Xenopus tropicalis: one gene and its partners. The main gene of each other region encodes a partner of the protein of the gene in region 2 in a complex. Links are inferred from orthologs where the notes say so. Each region holds a gene or a part of one and is shown on either strand. Other genes may lie near its edges. The genes, in order: ccnf, cul1, fbxo11, fbxo10 and btrc.

Region 1 (5,641 bases), on a different chromosome or scaffold from region 2:
AAACTCTCTGTGGGGTATAAGTCTTAAGGTGCCCATACACGTGAAGATCCGCTTGCTTGGCGAAGTCACCAAGCAAGCGGATCTTCACCCGATATCCCCACCTACGGGTGGGCGATATCGGGGAACATGTAAGCTAATTCAATTCGATCCAATGGGGCAGTCGGTTCGGGGACCACATCAACGAGCCGATGCGGTCCCTGATCCGACTAAATCTTTTAACCTGCCCGATCGATATCTGCCCAATTTCAGGCCAGATATTGGTCGGGAATGTCCCTCGTTCCTGCCCCTACACGTGCCAATAAGCTGCCGAACCACAACTCCTGTACAGAACCACAACTCCTAGCATGTCTGGAGTACAGGACCTTGGAACTCTAGACAAGAAGATCAAAACGCTGCCCATTGGACTGCCTAATATTTATTTCCTATAGGAAGGACTGGGAATTAAGGGAAATAGAAGATTCCATGGGTGCAACATGGGGGACACAGTTTTACCCTGGTCACACAATATCCTGTGCAAGGGATCCTGTGTCCCCTGGCCTGCAAAACAAACACATTTCAATGCCTTTTTTCAGTTGTGGATAACCTTAATATACTGTATGCTGGTAAATGTTACAAGATTATGAGCTTTGCCTTTTACAATTTAGTGCTTACGGGCAGAGCACTTCCATAAGGGCTTTATGGGAGCTCATTCGCTAGCACATATAACATTTTCGCCCAGGGCAGTTATTCATAGCAATTTCTCATCTGATCAAAGCCAATTGCTGATTCTATGACACTTAGCTCCTATGTTAGTAAGCTCCATGATGCCCTCATTCACATGGCTGCAAGAAAGCTAGCTCAGTCTGACTCTAAGGGCTCTGGCACACGGGGAGATTAGTCGCCCGCGGCAAAACTCCCTGTTCACGGGCGACTAATCTCCCCGAGTTGCCTACTCCTGCCATCCCACCGGCGAACATGTAAGTCGCCGGCGGGATGGCAGACGCGGCGGGGCGATTTCGCGCAAATCGCCGAAAAAGACTCGTGAGTCTTTTTCAGCGATTTCCTGAAATCGCCCCGCCGCGTCTGCCATCCCGCCAGTAAAGTGTGCCTGAGTCTGAGCTTTCAGAAGGAGCCAGCGCTACACATTAGAACTGCTTTCAGCTAACCTATTGTTTCTCCTACTCCCATGTAACTGGAGGAGTCCCAAGCTGGACTTGGATTTCTTACTATTGAGTGCTATTCTGGGAGCTGCTATCTTGCTCCCTTCCCATTGTTCTGCTGATCGGCTGCTGGGAGGGGGGGGATATCATTCCAACTTGCAGCTCAGCAGTAAAGTGAGACTGAAGTTTATCAGAGCACAGATCACATGGCTGTGGCACCCTGGGAAATGAATAATATGGCTAGCCCCATGTCAAATTTAAAAATTAAATATAAAAAAATTCTGTTTGAGTTTTTCAAAAGCAGATTACAATGCAGATTCTGCCGGAGAAGCTCCATTAACTGATGTGTTTAAAAATACACGTCCCCCATTACAGGGTTCCTTAAAGTTATAAACTCACATTTTTCTAATTTTGCCCCTCAGTGTTCATTCAGGGGACACAGCCATATTGCTGAGGAATTGCCCTACTCCCGCGTATTGCCGCCCTTACCTGCGGCCAAACCCTCTACCACTGAGTTTCACCTTCCCGCCTATACAATATCTGCTTTACATTAGCGCAAACTTCCATGCCCCAAAAGCCTCAGATGAACCTGCACCCCGCCTCCCTGCACCCCGCCTACTACTGCCCTGGGTTTAAATGGCCCCGCCCCCTTCGCCAGAGCCAATCCGCGTCATGAGCGCCGTTCAAAAAAATACACGCTGCCTCGCTGAACACTGGGAGAAAGGGGCGTGGCTTTGTATATTCTTTTCACGGACAATGAAAGCCGTGATTAATGCGGGCAGCTTAAAAACGGGTCTTTGCAAAAACTAATAACATTATAGATTTATACTTAAACAAACAGGTACTTCGATCTCGGTTTTATTAGCGCCTCTACGAGTTCTTCCGGGAACTCAGTGACGTCAGTATGTGGGCGTGTTAATATCTGTGGGAACCGTTTAGCAAATGCCATTGGCTGGTTTCGCAAGAGCATCTAGCGTTTGATTGGCTTGAGGGCGTGGCTATTGTTCATTCTTCGCTTCGGATTGGTTTGCCCTCTCTGTGGGCGTAGCCCTGGCCTGAGTTGGGATATGCAGGCCGGGCACCTAATGAAATCGAAATTTGCGCTCTGAGCCAGGCGGTAGCACCGATTCCCACTGCTCATCTACCTCACCAGCTAATTGCTCGGCATGAAGGGAGGAGGTAAGTGTCTGACAGGCGTAGATCTGATATAACTGATATTTATGTTGCGATCACCAGTTCATACATTCCTCTAGTTTGCGCCTGCTGCGCAAATTGATGGGATATGTAGTTCAGCAACAGGTTTGCCTGCCTATAATGTATGGTAGAGACCCTATAAACCCTAGCGCTCCCCCGATCGCCTTCCCTGCTAGGGGTTCCACTTATGTGATTGTGCTATTCATGTTATATAGGAATATATATATATATAACGCTGTGCATTCCTGCAGGGAGCGTGTTCATCTCATTCCCCCCTGAGAAGTCACTTCCTGCTCTCAGCAGTTTTAAATCTCCCTCCAAACTCTGCCGAAAGTGGGAGGATGGGCGGCCGGGGGGGGGGGGGGGGGGGGGGGGGGGGGGGGTTGTGACCTTTAAATGTAACTTGTTTATAATGAATGTATGGCTTTATATATAATATTATACTCCTAGAAGTATAGATTTATAATAGCCAGATCTCTTGGCACTGTAGCTGCTGTAGAATGAATGAAATACTAGTTATCTTTTTCTTTAAATCCCCCTTAATGGCTAATTAACTACCTGAGATAATAATTAAGGTTGATCTGTAGTTTTATTCAGCTCAGTGTCCCCCATGTCCCTGTGTGTGTGTATTGCTCCCCATGTGGATTGTGGCTTTTATTTCTGTGCTGCCTGTGCTCTCACCAGGTTTCCCTAATGTACATTCATGGGGTACTTTAGTGGGAGCAGGGGGGCATTTTAGTTGATTAGTGTGTTTATTGGGTGTTAAGAGGTGGGCGGGTTTGGTTTGAAAATAAACTTGCCAGCCAGTAACTGGTTGTGGGTGGGAGGGGACACTTTCCTCATGATCCATCGGGGCTTATTTCCCAATAGAGGGGCTGCTGCCAATATTGTATGTATGTATAACTTTATTTATAAAGCGCCACAAGGGTACGCAGCGCTGTACAATCTTACAGAATACAAAATTACACACAGGGAGGACGAGTGATATAATAAATAAATAAATATATATATAAGTGCCATGTGGTATGAGACACAGTAGGAAGGAGGTCCCTGCCCCGTAGAGCTTACAATCTAATTGTAGGGTCATTTTCACAGTTTTCATCTCTTTTATATGAAGATCTATTTTTTAAAGTGATATTAAGTCTCATGTATTTTAATCAGGGGGTTTAAAATTGAGTTTCCCCTGTTGAATTACTGATGTATTTGATAGTCCTGTTTAGTTACTTTTACAAGTTAATTCAAATCTATGTATATCTATAATATCTAATGTTCTATGCACATTCTACAGTTGCCCCCACCAAGGCAGCTTTGTATGCTTGGAGATTTAAAAGATGCATTTTTGGTAAATGTGATAGATTGGTGCCAGTACAACTTAGCATGGAAAATAAAAGTGTGTATTTGCTTTTCAGATCATTTATATTCTGTACTGGAATTGTAATGATCACATTGGGGTTGAGATCTAGTAGCTGATAAGGGAAAGATTATATTTGAGGGGAGAGATAAATCAGCTTGTAATGATGCCCAGCAGCCACTAGGGGCTCAACTGAGCAGAATTCTTAAGCAACTCCCATCATGCATCCGTGAGGGATTTAAATTTCTGTCAGAGCATTCACAGACTGAGCTGCATGTTGTACATTTCTTTTGTGCCTGTTTATAATTTATATCAAATCAGACTTGTCCCATGGTATATTAATGCTAAATATTATTCTGGGAGCCAGGCTGTGTATCTTTCCTCAATGTTTGCTGTGAGTTTCATTTGTTTGTTTCTCATTAAGAGCACACAGAAACCATGGGTTTATTGAGCCCTATACCATTAATGTAGAACTATTGGTGGCCCTCCAGGTTGCAGCAAGGCTGTATTTAGCTTTCTCCAGGCACATTGTGTTATATAGAGTTTATAGAATCGGACAATTGTATATGGTGCATTTTAATTGTATGGTGGAAAAGTCTAAGGTTGCTACAAATGGAAGAGACTGCCACTGCTGCAATTGTCTGCCCTGAGTAGTAATGAGACCTGGGTTTCTTTAGGTAGCTGCTGCTGGCATGTAGTGTAAACCAGCCCTGAGTGTTTCTTTCTGAAAACTTAGTTCACACCTTTAGGGCATTGGTAGAACGGGTGGCTCCTCAGGATCTGCAGTCTGATCCGTTGTTTTCCCTTCCAGCCTTGCACTGCCGCTGCTCCAAATGCTTTGCTGCTCCTCCGAAGCGGCGAGTAAAGAGGCGACCCCGCGTGCTGACCTTGCTCAGTCTGCCGGAAGATGTTCTTCTCTATGTGCTGGAATGCCTGCCTGCTGTGGACATCCTATCCATGCGAGAGGTAAGATCTGCGGGGAGGGAATGAGCCCCTCATTTGGTTCATGTGCAAAATGTGTGTGTTCCTTTTTGGATGGTCAGTAACTACAGTATAAATTTCTGACCAAATTGTACATAACTGGTGTCCTTTCTTACAATGTAGCAGGGGGGCCCAAAGCAGTCTGGATTGTGGGGGCTGTCTGAAGGCTAATCAGATTAAATCAGAACCATGTTTCTATCCCTGACAAGATTATAATTTGAATTTCCCAGACTCTTTCTATTCAATTGTAGTCTACGGACGATGAGATTGTGCATGAAACTCTTACTTAGTTTAACGCTGTCGTTTAACAATGGGTGTGAAACTGTATGCCTTTAACTGCTTCTGACGGGCACACCGGAAAAAAAAAAAGGAATCCAAACAATGGATTTTGTGCATCAAGGGGATTAATGCAATTTGGGCTTTTGTCAAAAACCAGTGCAGCGTGAAAGGGTCAAAGGGGCTTATCTAATTGCACAACTTATGTATTTCAAAAATACTTTCACCAGGAATGAAGAGAAGGGGATTCACTTTAGTGTGAAGACACACAGAGCTTCTAGTAGCAGCTACTTTTTCATGGCTACAGAAAATCCCCTGCCATAGACAATACTGAGAATTGCCTCCTAAAATGTAGACAATTATCAGTAAATGATCAGCATTGTCTATTTTAGTAGCTGCTACTAGTAGCTCCATGTGTCTTCACCCTTAACTTGGTGACTCTATTAATCTGTCCTTTGGAAAATTGACAAAGTGCTACATGCATTAGGTGTACCTGCTGCCTTACGCCAGAGTATGTGTTAATTGGTTGCTCGCTGCTTACCCTGAGGGTCTGTACCCATGAAAGCAGAGACTAAAACTAAATCCATAAATATAGTTTTAATATTATTTTAAACATGCACGCTGCTTCATTCTTTCCATTGTTCCCTCAATCTCTTCCTTGTGTTCCAGGTTCATCCACATTTGAGGTCCCTGGTGGATT
Region 2 (4,052 bases):
TCAAAGTGAGAGAGAAGAGACTGTTGTTAACAAAGTGAATAATACATTTAAGTATTATTAGGTCATTGGTTCATATTACCCATTGTGACTTCAACCGTCATGTCAAAAGAGACACCTTTTCTTGTATTAACTGCTATGTTCTTTCCCTTATAGTTTTATGTAGCATAATCCTCCGTAGGAAGTAATCACATTATCTCATTTCCTCAGTGAATGGCCTCAGTCCTTTGTAATGTTCCTAACTGTTCCAGATCCCAAACTATTTATGGAGGAACCAATTATACTGATTCAACTGCATCAGTTAAGGTTGTGTGTGTGGTATATGGATTTTTTTAGTTTGATTATCCCATATACATGGTGAATCTGATCAGCAGTTGGCCAGTTTTCCCTTGTAGTTGATAAAGCTTTGGGTGAAGTTACCTGATCCATGTCATTCAGTATGTATGCTGAGCTCTTAATTTCTTTTCTTTTAAACTTAAGTTTAAAAAAACAATAATACCAAAATATGAACCTGTATAACAGTAATTGCACTGTTGCCCTGCACTGGTACAACTGATGAAACACTACTATAGTTTAGAAATTCAAATATGCTGTGTAGCCATGGTTGCAGCCATTTAAGGGCAGTGATACACGGGGAGATTAGTCGCTGCACAACAAATCTTTGTTGTCGCGGACGACTAATCTCCCTGCAATGCCATCCCACCGGCTAGAATATAAATTGCTGGTGGGATGGCATACGCGGCGCCGTGATTTGCTGAAGCCGCCCGATGTTTCCTCTCAAGGCAACTTTCATACTCTGCGCGACAAATACGATTTTGTCGCACAAATTGTCACGCTTTTTGTCGCAAAGTGCGAAAAAGTCGCAAAAATATGCACAGTACGAAAACTTTATTTTTGTATTCGGAAGCAATCGTACTTTGATAAATGGGCCCCTATGATTCTTCTTGGACTGGCATAATTTTAAATTGATCACGTGCAGGCGTACCGTGTTACACACACAATATCATTGTGGGGAAAATCTACAAGGAATGCACAAGTCTTGTCCTTTGCATACTGGGCATGCACTACAGGGAAGAAGGTGTCTATCCAAAAACAAGAAAGGGTAGTGATATAAACCAAGTCTGAAGAATAAAGGGGAAGAATGAAGCACTTCACTACTAAGGATAATGATAAATACACATTTAAATGTTCCTTTATTAACATGTTATAATTATATGTACAACACTTTTAATGCATAGTTATATTTTCACTTTTAGGCATTTTAACTGATAGGATCTACATCACCCAACAGGATCAATTCACAAGCGATTTGGAATGCTCCAGCATTTTATCATCTTATGGAGGTTTAAGTAAGTCATTAAAGGAAGTTGTGGCACTGAAAGACATTTTATTGGGGGGAAATCCATAAAGAGAGGACAAAAATGTCTTCAAACAGAAGTCAGAATCCACATGGACTGAAACAGATTGGCTTGGACCAAATATGGGATGACCTGCGGGCCGGGATCCAACAAGTTTATACAAGACAGAGCATGGCAAAGTCCAGATATATGGAACTCTATACGTATCCTTATTGTAACTCCCATTACTTTCGTCTTACCTTCTGCAAAAGGCATAATTGATTGGTAAGGTACTGCTCAATGTAAATTTTTTCGCCAGATAAAAAGCCTTGGCCATCTTTTTGTCTTTTTCTGGCATCATCTTGATGACTAATTATTTAAAACTGTATTATTTTATGGTGATTGACATAAATATGTTTTTTAATTACTTAGTTTGGAAACATTTTAGGTGTAACTTTGTAAGGCTGAGTGTTGATTTTTTTATTCATTTTAGAAAACATCTGAATTCAAAGCCTGTCTACTGATTGTACTATGGATTTTGTTTAGAGTGCAGTTCACTCTAAACAAAATCCATAGTACAATCAGTAGACAGGCTTTGTGCGTTATGTTTTTTGTGTTTTTATGTGCTTGCTTTTAAACAGCCCTGTTTCCAAAAAACATGGGACACTAAAAATAAAATAAAAACAGAAGTGAAAGATCTGTAAATCATTTAAACCCTATATAAGCAAAATAGTACAAAGATGACATATTAAATGTAGAAAAAGAGAAATTATGCTGTTTTCAGAAAAAAAACCTTTCATAAATTTTAGGATCAGGGCACCAAAAGCCTCTCTGCGGCCGGGTCTCAAAGGGGAGGTATACACCACTCTGAGAATCACTGCAGAGCAGGCTTTGACTGGGATTCTAAATAGGCATTTTAAGTACACAAAGTCGCAAACAGCCTCCCCCCCCCACTAGCCCAATAAATAGTTATTGTCTATGGCATCTTTGAGCAGCCCCCCCGGGAATTTGGCAGAATCCACAGATTGCCAGTCCAGGTCTGCTGCACAGGCAAATATAGAAATAATTTAACGTTAAACTGCAAAACATTTGGTGATCATATCATCTATAGTACATAAGATCTCTGTATACATGAGACAAGGCCAAAAGCCAGTGTTAGATGGTTTTGACCTTCTGCCCTTCATATGGCACTGCATTAACAACAGACACGTTGCTGTAGTGGAAATTACTGCGTGGGTTTAGGAATACTTTGGGAACTGTTGTCTGACCAGAGTTTGTCACCCACAAATTTATAACTCTACCACACAAAGAAACATATACATACAACTTATTTAAGATGGACTGTCCTCGCATCCTCCGGGCTAAAGAGGGGAAGGACCATCCAACTGGTTATCAGCACACCGTTCCAAAGCCAGAATCCATTATGGCATAAGGGTGCATTAGTCTATATGGCATGCGTAGCTTGCACCTCTGGGAGGGCACCAGTAATGTTAAATGATAAACCGGTATGGCATCTGTCATAGCTTTGAATTATGGGAAGACCATCTCCTACTGACTCCATTTTAAGCAAACAAACATTTTTGAAAAGATTTCCTTTTTCTCTATAACAATATAACAGTACCTTGTACTTGACCCTAACTAAGATATGATCGATGCTTATTTGAGTGAAAATGATCCTATTTGGCTTATTTTTTTGGCTTTGAATTTTATTTTAGTAGACTTGGCAATCCAGGTTACTGAAAGACCTGGAAAAACCCAGGTCCCAAGCATTCTGGATTACAAGTCCCATAACTGCGCAATGTATACAGGTTTTGGAGCAATATATGCTGCCAAACAGCACTGTTTAAGCTACAGCAGTTGGTCTCTTCGATTCCCAAATGTTCACAGGGTGTTCCAACTTTTTAGGAATGTGTTGTGGCACCAAAGTTAAAAGGAGCATGTTTTTCAACATTTGATATATTGTGTTAAAACTATTTGCAATTAAGCATAGGGTTTAAATTATATACAGATCATTGCATTTTGGTTTTATTAATATTTTACACAATGTCTCAACTTTTTGGAAATAGAGTTGTAAAGGTTGGAATTGATTTAGAAAAAATTGAGTGTTCTTTGTAATGGGTTTGCTGTACTTTATGTGACAAACAGAGCCTCAATTACAGAAACAGAACACGGGTAAACATATCGACCCATCTTTTTCCCGTAAACTTTTTGAACAGTCTTTTTACCTGTATTTCTGTTTATGTATATTCTTTGGCTGACTTAGCCCTTTGAGTATTCTAACAAGGTTTACATAAGAATTTCAATATACACGCTTGCAAAGAGAATTTCTTCCACAAATGTAACATTCTTAGAATAGTAAACAATTAATTTTATTCTTTATTCCTAACAAAGAGAATAAATCAAAACAGTAAAAAAAATGTTGCTGGTCGGACTGACAGTCGAAAAGTTACTTTAGTTCATAAAATATTGCTCACAAAATTGTACTAACAATATCTTTAATATAGTTAAAAATATAAAATCATATGCATCCAAGCATTTCTAGTAGGTATTCCTACTAGTACTTCGTGCAGTGGGAAGATGGTTTAATATTGGTGTTTGCTGGACTTTTTTGGTTCAAGCCCCAGCACTGATAATAAACCTTTGTACATGCCCCCCACCCCCTTAGCTTGTAACAGGGGGGGAACCAGTAGAGGTAAACATCAGCCATTTAGCCATAGT
Region 3 (4,924 bases), on a different chromosome or scaffold from region 2:
ATGACATGATTATCAGCCACATCAATTGTTTTGCTGGGCAATTGTTCAGTTTGGGAATTGACTGAATTATACAGGCAAAATCTGTGCGTAGGTCCAGTAAGAATCCTTTAAGACAACTCATTTCAAGCCATCTGCTACTGAATAAGGAAGGCCCCCTGCTGGAACACTAAAGTAACATTCCTGTGTCTACATGGAAATGGCCCAGAACTCAGTATGCCATTATAGTACGTACCAGTAATAATACATTACCTTATAAAGACAGCAAATGTGTGCAGAAGTGCCACTGGTATTAGTATTATAATAAACAAGATATATACATTCAGACAAGTGACATTGCCAAAACAAACATTAACCTGTGTCTCCAGTTGCAGCCAAACAGGACCTGCCCACACCTACAGTATGTGATCCAGAGGTGTCAAAAGCCGTAACATCTGGGCAAGCTAAACATTACCCACATGTCCAATGCACACAGGCTATGGCCTTAGTCACTATTTACAAGTAAGGGAAAGCTAACACTACTTATAACCTGGAAGTAATTTAAATAAATTTCTGCATGCCAAAAAGCTCCAATAAATGTTACCATTATGATAAATTTCCCTTCACAATATACCAACCTGCTGCAAATCCATCAAATATTCGATTTTTCCTTAAAATTGGGTGACTGTTGGTGCTGATAAGAACACCAGCTTGGGCGTTTCGGAAGATGTCGTTCTCTTCAAGGAGTCCTATGGAAAATCACAATCACTGTAAGTTCTAGTTCTTACCCCTGACTGTTCTGCAGCATTGCTGCTCTGAGATTAGGGGAAACGAGTTGCTCTCAGTAAAATGCTCTAATCCATATAAATACTCTACTTTAGATAATTGTGCAGAGTTTCCATTTTCACTGTATATGTGTGGGAGTCTGCCTTCTCCATATTCTTTATATTCGTTCATAATGAACGTGTACAGTAGAGACTGCTCTCTATAGAGAATTCCAGATACTCACACCTTTTTATAAAAAAAAAAAACCTAGGATATTTGGAGTTCCATGGCCTATTTACTTTGGAGTGGGGTACAATATCTGCTATAATATATAATGTTTTAGAGGAGTTCTATGACTATATCAAAGCATAAACCACATATACATATTCTTTGTATATATTACAGGCTATTATATCCTTATATTTGTCATTCTCTAACATCAAAATCTTCCAAAAGACATCCAACTATGTATTTAAAACTTCTACAAATTAAAGAAAAAGTAAGCCTTTTATTTTTAAGTTCCCTAAAATTATTCCAAACAACCCACAGAATAACATACCTTTCTTCCTGCATCCAGATTTATTTTGTTTCTCTATTACAAGCAGTTAAACTGCAGCTTTTTACAGAGTTCCTTGTATAGTGTGAAGCCCTGCCCCCCTTTGCTTTCTAAACCCTTCTCTCTCCATCTCTGATGACCTCAAAGAGGAGCCTAATGATTGATTTTAATTGAAGCAGAAGCAGTGAGCATGCCCAGTATGAAGAGGGCTCAGAAAGCAGAAGGGGCAGAGCAATTCTAAACCTTTTTAAATGTTGCTATAAACAAATCACCTCTGCCTCCATTAAATATACAGATTCCTCCATCTCTTCCATCATGGATTTTATTTCTCCGTAAGGTTGGGTTGCTGTCTGTTTTGATCCAGACGCCGGCCATTGCATTATCAAATATTTCATTGTCTTCTATAAATCCAAGCCCTGAACAAGAAAGGGAAAAGAAATAGCACTTATTTACTGCTTAAAGGAGACATTGGATAAATGGGAAAAACCCTAATTTTGTAGGCATTTATGAATAATATACGGTGCTGGTTTTACTTTGTGCTAAAAATTAATCCTCTCTGTAAAAATGGCCCCTTTATTGGAGCTCCCTATAGATCATATCACTTCTCTGTCCAGTGTGAAATGAAGGGTGGGCGAGTCCTAACGGCCCCTGCCAGAAGCACAGTAGGAGGGGGAGAGCCAATCACAGCCCTGCACTCACACAAGCAAAGACAGGCTTCAGTTCCCTATCAGGTAAGCCTAGCTGCTGATTGGTTCCTATCCTACAGAGGGCCGCTGGCTCCCCCGCTCATCCAGAGAATTCAGCCAGCAGGAAGTCGAACAGGTGGGCAAGGCTAGCGGTGTTTTTGTGTCATAAACACAACTTTTTAAAGCACAATCCTTCTATATCAAGAGGAGTATAATTCACTGGTACATTCTTAATTTTTATAGGATATGTCTCCTTTAAGGATCTCTCTATATGGAGTAAAACTGCACATATATATATTACATTATATATATCGTCTTGCAAAGAATCGGCACTCACCAGTATCGGGCACAGGCTGGGTGCTGACAAAAATAATACATCAAACTCAACAGTAGAAAGCACTCACAGCTACAGCATCAATCAGGTCAGTGATTTATTTCAGCATACCATCTACGCGTTTCGATCACCACAGGATCGTCATCAGGATGACGATCCTGTGGTGATCGAAACGCGTAGATGGTATGCTGAAATAAATCACTGACCTGATTGATGCTGTAGCTGTGAGTGCTTTCTACTGTTGAGTTTGATACATTATATATATCTGTAGAGCTACTTACCAGAATTATATACAAGTATACCGCCATTCTGTCCTCCCCAGATTTTATTCCGCCTTATTTTAGGGTTGCTTCCAGTTCTGCAAACAAATGGAACAAGGAAGTATTCTTTGTGAGCCAACATTTCCAACTATATACTATAACACTGCAAGGCAGCTTAAGACTTTATAAAGTGTAGTGGTCAGCGATAGATTTCAGCTGGAATGGCTGGTTCTGTACAATGTATGGGAGAAGTTTAAAGAGGCACGGGTGATACATGGGAAATGAGGGGAAGATGGTAGTAGCCTGGCCAACAAAAACTACCCCACGCTGGTAACAGAACAGATACCCCATAGCATCTAACTGCCTTGAGATGCCTCAGCGCAAAGAGCAGTTATGGAAACCAAAATGCACCAATGCAAAATTAGCAAAGGAATAACTGTCAAATCAAAAAAAAAAAAAAATCATTTACTTTGTTCGTGGTTTTGGTACTTTAACATTCTAGGTTTTATTTCATAAACAGAGGTTCAATATTAAACCAATCTGGTCACCCATAGCAACCAATCAGCAATTTGTTTTCAGTAGGTGAACAGAGATCCTACTGGCTGTTATGCATAACTGTGATGAACATTAATCTCTATCTGCTACCATAAAACAATCTTCTGTACTGTAAAGCTGAAGAGCAACGCCTTACCTTATCTGAACTCCAGAATACATGTGATTATAGATGTCGTTGTCTTCTAGGACACCGTGGCCATTGTCATAAAAGTACACTCCGACCTTAAAAGCAAACATGGAAACACTAATTAAAAACGGTGATTCCTACAGTTTCCCCTACAGTACTTCAAGGTTTTCAGTTTTTCTTCAATCAACTGCTCTAAAATCAGTCAATCCCAACAATTCCCTTTCCTTACCTGCTTTCCGCTGTGTATTCTGTTCCGCCTTAACACAGGCGTACTTCCAGTTGTCACCCAAACGCCAGCCAATGTGTTACTGTATACTTCATTTTCTTCAATTACTCCCTGTCCCTTTTCATGCTTTGGTTTGAAAAGTAAAATGGAAAAAGTCAAAATCAAGTTCTTAGTTTAGCTCATGGATAAGCATTTTTTTTGGTATGGAAGTTGTAGTTACCTCCAACAGCTAGAACACCCCAAGGGGGCTGGATCCATGGCTGAGTTTTTTTCTATTACTGTGTCATTACACTGAAAATGTCACTCACCACATAGATGCCACCATGCTGTCCATCGTGAATTTTATTGTGTCTGACAATGGGGCAGCTGTTTGTACGAATCTGAATTCCTGCTAATGCATTTCCTGGTAACACACAGAAATAGATTAATATACAACGCTTAAAAAAAAAAAAAAAAGGTAAAAATTGAACTTTAAAAAGGAAAAAGTTACCATATATGTCATTTTCTTCTATAAGGCCTCTTCCATCACCAAAGATATACACTCCCCCTTGGTTTCCATTAAAAATTGCATTTCCCCTGTAGAATTAGGCAGCATTTTAGTAGACAGTTTTAGCCATAACTTGTATGAGAAGCAACTGTTCATAACTAAAGCATAAGGGGGCTATAGGGGACAGTAAATATGAGTTTAACCATTATAGAAAAATCACATGACTAGATATGAAATTCTGCAATAAATTTGCCCTACTGTAATATGTGGGCAAACTTGGCCTTTAGGAACCCCTGCTTACCTAATAGTTGGGTCACTATTTGAGGTAATCCATACACCGGCAAAATTGTTTGCATAGATTTTGTTCTCTAAAAACTGTCCTCTCCCTTTTTCATGGACGTAGATTCCTCCGGTCTGGCCGTGGTGGATTTCACACCTCACCACTGTGGGGTTGGCATAGGCTTTCACCTCGAAACCTGCTATTCTATTTCTGTGTATGTTGCAGCTTTCAAAATAACCCTGCAATACCATTAACAAGCAAACGTGTAAGCAAGAATTATTCGTTTAATTAGACAAGTACGTGTACAACAGAACCAGATTTTACTTTCATATTTGATGCTTCACTTTTATTTATCACTTATCTAAAAGTATCCAGCACTCAGCAAATGGGCAAAAATATACAGACACTTCTTATAAAAATCCCAATGTCAGAACTTTTAGTTTGAAAAATTCTGCATAGGCAAGTAGCCACACCAAACCTATCACCACCATGCACAATACCAAGCGTTGGCTGCATTAGTGCAAAGATGGCCAAGATTGCACCTATGCTAAGGTAGAGAAACAGAAATCAAAATTATGGTGAACTGAAGTTAAAAATGCATTCTGTATTTTATTATCAAAGGCATAGTTCATCTTTTAGTTTAACTTTTTGTATGTTATGGAACACCTTATT
Region 4 (5,419 bases), on a different chromosome or scaffold from region 2:
GGAACAACTTGGCACCAGTGTAATTCATATAGTATTAACTATTCCATTAACTAACAACCTAAAGGCTAAACCCAAGGGAACAAATCTATGTCCCAAAGGCTCTTGCTATCTATTGACAAATTTGTAAACAAGGCTTACTATATTATACTATATTATATTAGCGAACCCCAGACTATTTTTTCATAACTGTCTCACATGTTTCTTGCAGCCTACTTCAGCAAGGTAACCAGTTCAGCTTTAAAGGACAGATCATTGTCATATTGTGCATTTAGCACCACAGACATAAAAATACTATATAACTGCATGCATCTGAATTATCCTTAAACTACAGGTATGGGATCTATTATCCAAAATGCCTGAGACCTGGAGGTTTTCCGGATAAGGGTTCTTTCTGTAATTCGGATCAACAGAAAATAAGTCTACTAAAAATCATTTAACATGAAGTAAACCGAAACAGATCCATGCAGCTTAGTTACCATCAAGTACAAGGTACTGTTTTATTATTACAGGGAAAAAACATTTTTGAATATTAGAATTATTTGCTTAAAATGTACTCTGCGAGAGATGGCCTTTCCATAATTTAGAGCTTTCTGTATAAAGTATCCCATAAATGTATTTGTCAATGTCTTTTTTCTTTACCCCTCTGTTAACTCTCATCTAGCATGTATGATCCTAATCCAGCTAGTCAGTATTTACAAATCAAATAATAGATCTTTTTTTTTTATTCCCTATTCCTACAAGGTCACTACCCTTAAATAAAGCATTTTGTATTAGTGGCAAGAATGCAGAGCTCTGCAGTTGTGTCCACATATACCATCTTATGACCTCTTTTTAGTCACAGGGATCAGCTCCCCAGGCATGCGCACTAGAGACAGATCATTCTAAGACTACAACAGGGGTCGACAATCACAGCAATGTAAGCAGCTTCCTAGTTATGCCAAATAGGAGATTATAAGTCCAGAAAGGAATTTAGTTATGTAAAGCCTAACTTCACCTACAAAAAAGTAAATAAATATGTTGCTCTCCAAAACACAATAATCTAGAATGTAAGAAAAAAATCTTTTAAACTGGGCACACAACAATGATGTGAGGAGGAGGCAGGAGGGAATTGTAGCAATGAGAGATATTATTCAGAAAGTAGTTCCTTGTAAAAATAGTTCAGCTTCCCTTGTCTGCTACAAATGATATTCTTATAGCCTACTCTTCAGAGATTAGGAACTCTGAAAAATAGTTCAGAACTGGTCCAGTATGAACCATTCATATAGGAACTGTAGTATTTTATAATTACTACTATTTTATTTATTATCCAGAATACTGAGACCTTTTTTTCAGGTTTTTCCATAATTTCAAGTCTACTAAAAAATTCAAACATTAAATAAGCCCAACAGGATTGTTATGCCACTAATATAGATTCGTACAGCTTAGTCATCAGCTAGTACAAGCTACATTACAGAGAAAGCATAAACAGAATTAGAATTATTTGCTTAAAATTGATCTTATTGGATATGGCCTTCCTGTAATTTCTTCCTGTAAGTTCATTGATAAGAGATCCCATACATGCACAATAACATGCATCCCAATGGTGTACATGTATAGGACCCATTATCCAGAATGCTCGGGACCAAGGGTATTAAGGATAAGGGGTCTTCCATAATTTGGATCTCCATACCTCTACTAAAAAATCAATTAATTAAGGATTATTTATATCTTAGTTGGAATCAATTACAAGGTACTGTTTTATTTCTACAGAGAAAAAGGAAATCCTTTTTAAAATTCTGAATTATTTGATTAAAATGGAGTCTATGGGAGACAGGCTTTCCGTAATTCGGAGCTTTCTGTATAACGGGTTTCCGGATAAGGGATCTCATACCTATACTAAAATATACAATTCAGACATGAATTCAAAATTTAGGAAGTACAACTGTGCATTTTCTGTTTTACCTATAATTCAGAATACTTACAACCTGGGTTTCTGGATAAGGGATATTTCCATAATATAGAGCACCATTCCTTAAGGCTACAAAGAAAATTTATATTTTAAAATAACCAATAGAAATGGTTTTCCATTAACATGGATTTATGCTAGCATAATTGACATTAAGCACAACATACTGTTGTCTTATTAGAAAGGATAAGCAAATCATTCATAAACAAAAAATAATTTGCTTTTGGTTAAAGTTGGTAACAGTTTTGTTGATACTAGATCAGCTTTGTGGATAACAGATCTCATACCTATGCAATTCCTTGTTTTACCAAAATACACAAATGCCAATTATTTTAGTACTGAGAACAGCAAATCCAGAGAAATGGGTTGTTATGTTTTTTACAAAAATATAATTCTACTCAAATGTGTAGCTCTGGAAATGAGAAATCAAGCAAACAGTGACAGAGATGTTAGATGAGATATACAGATAGAATGTACCTGTACAAACAAACCATTTCTGGCTATACTTCCTAGCGCCACAAAGTCACATACTGAGTGTTAGCTGTGGGTTTAATACCACAAGGTTGGTTGAAAGTCAGGGCAGTAAAGCAATAATGTGGTGTTGTGTATGCCAGGTTCTTGGCATAATAATCTATAATTACAATAATTGAATAAAGTAAGCTTGTAATAGCAAATACACACATATACCTAACACACAAACCTTTATCTATATGTATTATAAATATATGTATATTACAATTATAAATATATGTATAATAGCACTTTAACATCAACATAATGTACATACGTGATTATACCGCACGGTCCCACCACTTTCTTCATTTGCAGCTAGCATAAAAGTCTGACTTGCCAGAAGCACCTCAGTTCTGTATCAGTACATCCCACAACAATCCTGTCGCACAGTCAGAGCGCACAGGGATGCTCCGGCCGGATACCTCAGGGAGCATTACATGTGCAGGTGGGGAGCCAGCAGTCCGTCACTTGTGTGGCATCTGTACGTTCCTGTTTGCAGATCCCATCCCATCCCAATAGCCTACACGTTTGCTACACTGCCCACAGGAGAGGAAATCATTATACTTGCCAATGATAAGAAGAGAGGGGAATCTGTTGTGATGCACTAAGTTCCCCCCTAGCAGCTACAGGACACACACAGCCGGTGTTGGTACTGCAGCCTCACAGTTGCTGCTGCTGCTGCTGCCAATGCAAGTATCCTGTGTGCTCCCGGCTAGTGCATGGGCTGACCATAGAGTACTGGAGAAATAGGAATCGCTGAAGAGGCCCCTCCTGTGGTATCCAAAGAATATAGCAGCTATTCACCAGCCAGACGCCGGGGGAAAGAGAGAATCCTGTAAGGAGGAGTCTCTACATATTAGACAAGCTTGAAGTTGCTAGCGAGGCCCCATGAGGGCCTTTTGTTTGGCAGCCTGCAAGAGACAGCATGGTAAGGGAGATGAGGGAGGGAGGGAGAGCAGGGAGGGGAGGGCTGTGTGAGGGATGAGGGGAAGGGAACAATTGCATCCTGAAGGGGTGGGAAACTGGGAGGAGGAATGAAGGCTTAGCACTGATAAAAAGGGGGAGTGGAGGAGGGTCTGCAGTAGAAGGAGGAAAGCAAGAGAAACCAAGTGTATGTCAGGGACCAAGTAGCAGGAACAACAGAAACATCATCTAGGAAAGGTAAGATAAAAGTGTCCCAATCCCCTTTAGCACAGCCTTGAGTATATCCATAAATATTGTGCGCCGCTCTATTATTTCTCCATGGCCACATTTCAAGCAGCTACAACATGCCTCTCCCTTCGTCCTCCCTGCTTCAGCATCAGTGCATGTTTAGTTGACCATACCGGGGCAGGGCTGCTTTAAGGTACCAATGGGCCCAGGGCAGGAATTAGTGAGTCCGACATCCAAGTAACAGAACTATCATAAAGCAAGAGAATTTAAATGAATATTATAAGATAGGCTATAAAAAATAGTCTGAGAATCAGTCACGCTGGGCTGGAGGAAGCACAATCCTTCCATAGACTGGAGTACTGTTTTTACTTGTAGTAAGCCTATGGAAGGATCACGCTTCCCCCATCCCAGTGTGACTGAAACAACTACAGAAGAGCCTTTATCCTGTAAGTATCGCTAGGATGGGAGCAGCTTTGCTGTACTTTTGGCCAGGGGCAGCAGAAAATGTTTTTGGATGGGGGGCCAGGTGGGAAGGATTTGCGGCCCGAGTAACGCCCTTAAGACTCCACCCACTTTAAAGTGTGTTTTCACCAAATTTGTAGAAAACCAAACATTTGCCTAGTCTGGTAACCCAAGACAAAGCAATTGTAAGATTATAATTGCAGTTAGCCAACAGATGGCTGGTTGCTATGTATGGGTTATATGACCTCAGCAAACCTGGCACCATTTACTACATTTCTGCTTAAAAGTAGAAATTGATGGAACAAGGGAGCTATATACCAGGTAAATAAGTTTTAGTTTATTTACTTTTGATAAAGTTATAGATAAAGTTTTTATTTAAAGAGGGTGAGAATAGGCTAATGTTACACATACCGTGTGGAGCATGTTTTTGGCAAGCCAAAATCCGCTTGACGAGATTACGCTACATAGGATTAAAAATCCTCCTACCTGTGTCTGCACCTGAATGCATTGAATATAATCAGGTGCGGGCACATGTAGCCGATATCTGCCGAAAATGCAAAGTATTCTGGATATAGGCTACATGTACCTGCACCCGAGTGTATTCATTGCTGGTGCAGGCACAAGTAGGAGGATTTTAACCGTATGTGGCGTATTGTCAGCAAGCAGTTTTTGGCTTGTCGAAAATATGCCCATACGCTACATGTGGCATTAGCCTAAGGGTTGCATTTTGGAGTATATGGCAGACAAGTTTTAGCAGCACTCACTGCCATGGAGACATTGCAGTTGTCATCCCCAGAACATTATATCAACACAGAAATGGTTAAAGCAGCATACCAACATATCTAGGTTAGTGCAGTCAGCAGAATCTGGCAGCGTAAGTGTGAGTATTGACACCACAAGTACAATTTATCCTGAGAGTTGGGAAAGCAGGCACTACAAGCACATTACACCATGAGAAGAAATTAATGCTAGCACCCAAAATATATTATATGCAGAGGCTGTGAGATACCCCAAGGACATTATATACAGAGAGAAGCAGTGGGTACTGATCCCCCAAGGACATAATATAGAGAAATTATGGCACCCCAAGCACCATACAAAACATTATATAGTAATAAGCAAAGGGCACTGGCACACCAAGTGCATACACAAGAACCAATGGATAACGGCACCACAAGCAGTAAGAGGCAGCGAAAACTGGCTCACCAAGAACAATATACAATTAAAACAAAGTGGGCATTGGCATCAAAGATATAAGGTACCAGTGGGCCCAGGGCAGGCATTAGTGAGTCCGACATCCAAGTAACAGAACTATCATAAAGCAAGAGAATTTAAATGAATATTATA
Region 5 (4,225 bases), on a different chromosome or scaffold from region 2:
TATGCACTGTGGTGATTTCGAGAGCAGATTTTTACAGTGTCTCTTTAAAAAAAACAAACAAACCCCCACAAGTTTGGCTTTAAGTAAAGGACAGAAAACGAGTGCTTTTTTTTTTCTTCTTCTAAAGGACAAAAAGATACTTTCCTGTTGCGTTACGTTAAGTGTTTGTACCTCAGTTTTCAGATCATGCAGAATATTTAATAGTGGTTCACATGCAAGAAGAGATGAGTTTAAATACGTATTTACGAAGAGCGCTATGGCAAATAGGGCTGCCCGCGAAGATCAGAAGCATGAGTTAGTAGTCGTGTGCAGAAAATATACATGGTGTTTTGTGACGGTCAGTACAAGCGCGGTGACGGAAATAACCACCAAGAAAGACGAACGTACTGCTGTGCCAAGCCAAGGGAAGAGGGAGAAAGAAGAGGAGAACCCTCACTAGAAAAATAAGAGGAGACACTTAAATGGAGACACATACCAAGAGGGAAAGTGAGTTTTGCGCTATCCTTACCCTTGTGCCATGTGATAAGAACATCTCTAATCAGTTTATTTTTTTTCTAAGCTTTTAATGGCCCATAAAGAACTATACAGATAACTACAACACTTGATTTGGTACTATATGCAAAAAAAAAAAAAAAAGGAAAAAAAAGAAAAACTGGATATACACGCAAACACTGAAGAATGAAAAAATTAATGGAAAAAAAAAATAATAAATAAAAAATAACCTTTCATGCTTACTATGATAAAAACATACATTTTTATATCACTTGGGGGGGTCTTAGTCATCATCTTAAAAGAAAGTAACCCATTTCCCGCTTTTCACTTCACAAGTACTTGCAAAACGTTCAGCAGATCTCCGAATGGAACCACACCTTAAAGCAGCGTGAGCGTGGGACAAAAATGAAAATTGTTCTTTTGCTGACAGCGAAGCAACAGGAATCCTGGCAAGACATTTAAATAGATTTCAAAGATCTGTGACTGCTACAGTCTCTCAGGTTTCATCTCTAAATTGCAAGTTTTGAGTAATGAGCCGCCGCCACTGGAGTGTGCAACCCACCGCCACGCAATAAGTTGCAGACTCCGGTGACAATGACGGAGATACAAGAATTCTTCTCATGGCAGCAATCATGCAGTCCACTGTGCAGATTGGCCCGGGCTGCTTCCAGCTGCCTGACAGCAATATTCCAGGATGAGTCAGGATAATGGGTCTCTCTCTCTATATTTTTTTTTTTTCAGCAAATACTGGTCAAGTAGAATGTTTATTTCCCGGCGTTCACAGGTGGTTTAGTTACCATACTTCTCAAGCAAGTCCTGTAAGGGAGTAAACGAGAGGCAAGATTAAAGGTTCATCTATGTTTTTTTTTTACAAAGAAAGGACACAAAAAGCTACAACCAGTGTCAGATAAATAGAATGATATACTCCACTTCTTGCTTTTACATCCCAAGGGACCACGAGCCACATCTCAGCCCTACTTTGGAATGTCCATGTGTACATACCATAAGGGAGCCGGTCAGGCTGACACTTAAGAAGCATCTGATGTGCGCTGAACTCAAATGCCTGCAGCTGAATCCTAAATGTACTCTCAAATCCTCTCTATTGTGTTCAACCAACCTGACATCAGTCTCTCCTGACAGTGCATTTTTCCTTGATGTCAAGGCGAACAGAAGAAAGGCAATGTAAAAAGCAGAAGGTATCAGATGTGCACAGTGTGCACGAGATGCCTAGGGTAACATCCATCTGATGGCATGTGTAGGAGGAGATCACTTGCCAGCAGATATCTGGTAGCCTCCTGCTGATATCTGATGGGGTTTAAAATGCGTCAGATCCAAGGACACAGCAGAAATTTTGCACGTGTGAAAGCATTTACAGTGCTATTCCATTTCTTTCTTATCCTCTTTGCTGTATGGCTGTGGTCCTGTTCTGTAACTAAGTTTACAAGGTGGAAGTGGTGACTGTGAGGAGGAAAGGCAGGCCGCAATACAGATATCCATAATACTTTTCGTGCATCTCACTGCCCTTCAGCTGAGTTTTTAAGGAAAAATGACAGCTCCAGAAACCAACCCTTCCTCTCCATTCTGCTGTATGGTGTCTGCACTCAGAGGCACAGCGTGGGCCTGGGTGCAGACACACAGAGTGGATTTTGGAGTAAATATTCATTCTCACGTGTTTTGGAGCAGAAAATGCTCCCCATGTGTGGGTGCAGACACAGAGTTGGACTGGCCCACTAGGATACCAGGAAAACTCCTGGTGGGCCCAGGTGTCAGTGGGCCCTCCTGCTCCTGACCATTTGGCCTGTTTCATGCTTATTACCCATTTCTGAATGGAAAAAAGAGGAGAAATACATGCTAGCATGTAAATAAAAGAGACTTGGAGAATAAAGTGGTTTTAGTGAGGAAAGGAGGAAAATTAGTTTGGAGAGTGGGCCCATGGTCTAAAGTTTTTTGGTGGGCCCCTGGGGTCCCAGTCCGACACTGCAGACACACCATAAAGCAAATCGGATTGGAGAGACTCTAGGCATGTGCTTATATAGAGGCCAGAAAAAAAACCCCACCCCCGTGTGGCAGTAGCCTTACGGGTATATTTATCATGCGGTGTAAAAAGTTAAGTCAAGCATTACCGATGATGTTGCCCAGAGCAACTAATCAGCAATTAGATTTCAACAGTTAGAAAACAAAAGCAAAGCATCTGATTGGCAGCTATGAGCAACATCACTGGTAATGTTTCACTCCACTTTTTACAAAGCATGATAAATATACCCCTCAATGTAAATGTGGTCCTGGGGGAATGGGAATGTAATCAGTACAACAGTAGTGATAATATCCTGGCATGCACATATCATCAAGAGGGATCTGGGCACCAGAGCAGATGGAACCCAGTGGATTACTGCCAAGACAATCAGAGGAGAATCCCTTAAGCACTGGGATACTGTGAGTAATGACACAGTAGACTTGCACATTAATACAAGCTAAAACAAAAACTGGCCTTTAGGAAACACAAGTTAAAGAAAGTATTAGCTAATAATGGCCGACTGTGATCTAAAAACTCATAATCCCACACAAGATTTACTATTTTCCCATATTTTTTGCCTGCAAATGTAAAATGTGTCAGTGACAAATGACTGGTGTACTTAGCACTTCCTCCTACCCACCTGTGCAACTCTGAGGTACTACGTAGTGTCATTTATCTGGAGATGTACGTGTATGTTCTAGAAGGGGAACGCGTTGACTCTGCATGTGCAGCTGGGTCGTTGAGAAAATCCCAGATGAGGATAGTGTCGTCGTGAGAGCTGCTTACTATCTGGAACTCATCAAACTGCAGGCGGAAAACTCTGCCCGAATGCTCCTGGTAAACAAAGCAAAGATAATAGGGATAAACAGATATTACACAAGTTTATGCAAAGACATGTAACACATATACAGCGTTCTGCCTTCACCACACTGCTACTATTACCAGAAGAGGTGCTTTATCCAATTAAAAGGAGCAAATATATATATGGGATTTTTTTTATATTTTTTATATATATCTATATATATCTATATATATCTATATCTATATCTATCTATACCTATCTATATCTATATATTTTATACACACACACACAGAAGGTTGGCATTCATGTGTACATGATCAAAGTAAAGCATAAATAATGGAGGAATCTGCACTACTCAGGTCTTATGTCCAATATCAAAAAGATTTATTGAAGGGAGACTGACGTTTCAACCCACCTAGGGTATTTCTCGAAACATATATATACACACACCCTAAACAAAATGAAGCCATTATTTTTTTTAAATGTCACCTTGAATGAAGCACAATTGAAAAAGGACATGCTGTGAGGGGGAAATAATCTGGCAAAGTCCACACTGCCTGAGAAAGCCATTGTGTGTTTATGGAGCTGCTTTACAGACTGCAAAGTCGAAGACAACTCGCCTGCAGTGAGGAGCCACGATCTGTGAACCTTCTCCAACTGCTTACAAATTGAATGTTAGCTGTAGGAGGGTTTTTCTCATTTCTGGGAAAAAGCCAGAGTTAATTTGGAATGGCCATAATGGCAACAGTGTGGTGGGCTTTAATATTATTGCCTATGGGTCAAAGACATACAGACACCACTGCATTTGTGCATGTGGCTTTATTTCATTCAACATTATTAGAAAAGTTATAACATATGCCTATCAAGAGATATAAAATGAATGAAACAGAAGATATGAATTCAATAAAACTATAATA

Evidence for each region.
Region 1: cul1 (region 2) and ccnf share a complex: the UniProt entries of both Homo sapiens proteins name them as parts of the SCF(CCNF) complex. The link is inferred for Xenopus tropicalis from reciprocal best matches to the Homo sapiens genes CUL1 and CCNF.
Region 3: cul1 (region 2) and fbxo11 share a complex: the UniProt entries of both Homo sapiens proteins name them as parts of the SCF(FBXO11) complex. The link is inferred for Xenopus tropicalis from reciprocal best matches to the Homo sapiens genes CUL1 and FBXO11.
Region 4: cul1 (region 2) and fbxo10 share a complex: the UniProt entries of both Homo sapiens proteins name them as parts of the SCF(FBXO10) complex. The link is inferred for Xenopus tropicalis from reciprocal best matches to the Homo sapiens genes CUL1 and FBXO10.
Region 5: cul1 (region 2) and btrc share a complex: the UniProt entries of both Homo sapiens proteins name them as parts of the SCF(BTRC) complex. The link is inferred for Xenopus tropicalis from reciprocal best matches to the Homo sapiens genes CUL1 and BTRC.

Annotation. Positions count from the first base shown.
Region 1 is NC_030685.2:22,528,132-22,533,772, forward strand, and holds the start of ccnf (cyclin-F), read left to right. Parts: upstream 1-2,244; 5' UTR 2,245-2,305; coding exon 2,306-2,318; intron 2,319-4,495; coding exon 4,496-4,650; intron 4,651-5,610; coding exon 5,611-5,641. UniProt on the Homo sapiens protein: Substrate recognition component of a SCF (SKP1-CUL1-F-box protein) E3 ubiquitin-protein ligase complex which mediates the ubiquitination and subsequent proteasomal degradation of target proteins.
Region 2 is NC_030682.2:55,203,070-55,207,121, reverse strand, and holds the start of cul1 (cullin-1), read left to right. Parts: upstream 1-1,252; 5' UTR 1,253-1,418; coding exon 1,419-1,558; intron 1,559-4,052. UniProt on the Homo sapiens protein: Core component of multiple cullin-RING-based SCF (SKP1-CUL1-F-box protein) E3 ubiquitin-protein ligase complexes, which mediate the ubiquitination of proteins involved in cell cycle progression, signal transduction and transcription.
Region 3 is NC_030681.2:21,092,089-21,097,012, forward strand, and holds part of fbxo11 (F-box only protein 11), read right to left. Parts: intron 4,492-4,924; coding exon 4,274-4,491; intron 4,062-4,273; coding exon 3,976-4,061; intron 3,889-3,975; coding exon 3,794-3,888; intron 3,612-3,793; coding exon 3,489-3,611; intron 3,355-3,488; coding exon 3,269-3,354; intron 2,676-3,268; coding exon 2,599-2,675; intron 1,714-2,598; coding exon 1,570-1,713; intron 726-1,569; coding exon 615-725; intron 1-614. UniProt on the Homo sapiens protein: Substrate recognition component of a SCF (SKP1-CUL1-F-box protein) E3 ubiquitin-protein ligase complex which mediates the ubiquitination and subsequent proteasomal degradation of target proteins, such as DTL/CDT2, BCL6, SNAI1 and PRDM1/BLIMP1.
Region 4 is NC_030677.2:109,016,976-109,022,394, reverse strand, and holds the start of fbxo10 (F-box only protein 10), read right to left. Parts: upstream 3,473-5,419; 5' UTR 2,733-3,472; intron 1-2,732. UniProt on the Homo sapiens protein: Substrate-recognition component of the SCF (SKP1-CUL1-F-box protein)-type E3 ubiquitin ligase complex. Mediates the ubiquitination and degradation of BCL2, an antiapoptotic protein, thereby playing a role in apoptosis by controlling the stability of BCL2.
Region 5 is NC_030683.2:30,625,615-30,629,839, reverse strand, and holds the end of btrc (F-box/WD repeat-containing protein 1A), read right to left. Parts: intron 3,341-4,225; coding exon 3,179-3,340; 3' UTR 3,147-3,178; intron 1,309-3,146; 3' UTR 1,219-1,308; downstream 1-1,218. UniProt on the Homo sapiens protein: Substrate recognition component of a SCF (SKP1-CUL1-F-box protein) E3 ubiquitin-protein ligase complex which mediates the ubiquitination and subsequent proteasomal degradation of target proteins. Recognizes and binds to phosphorylated target proteins.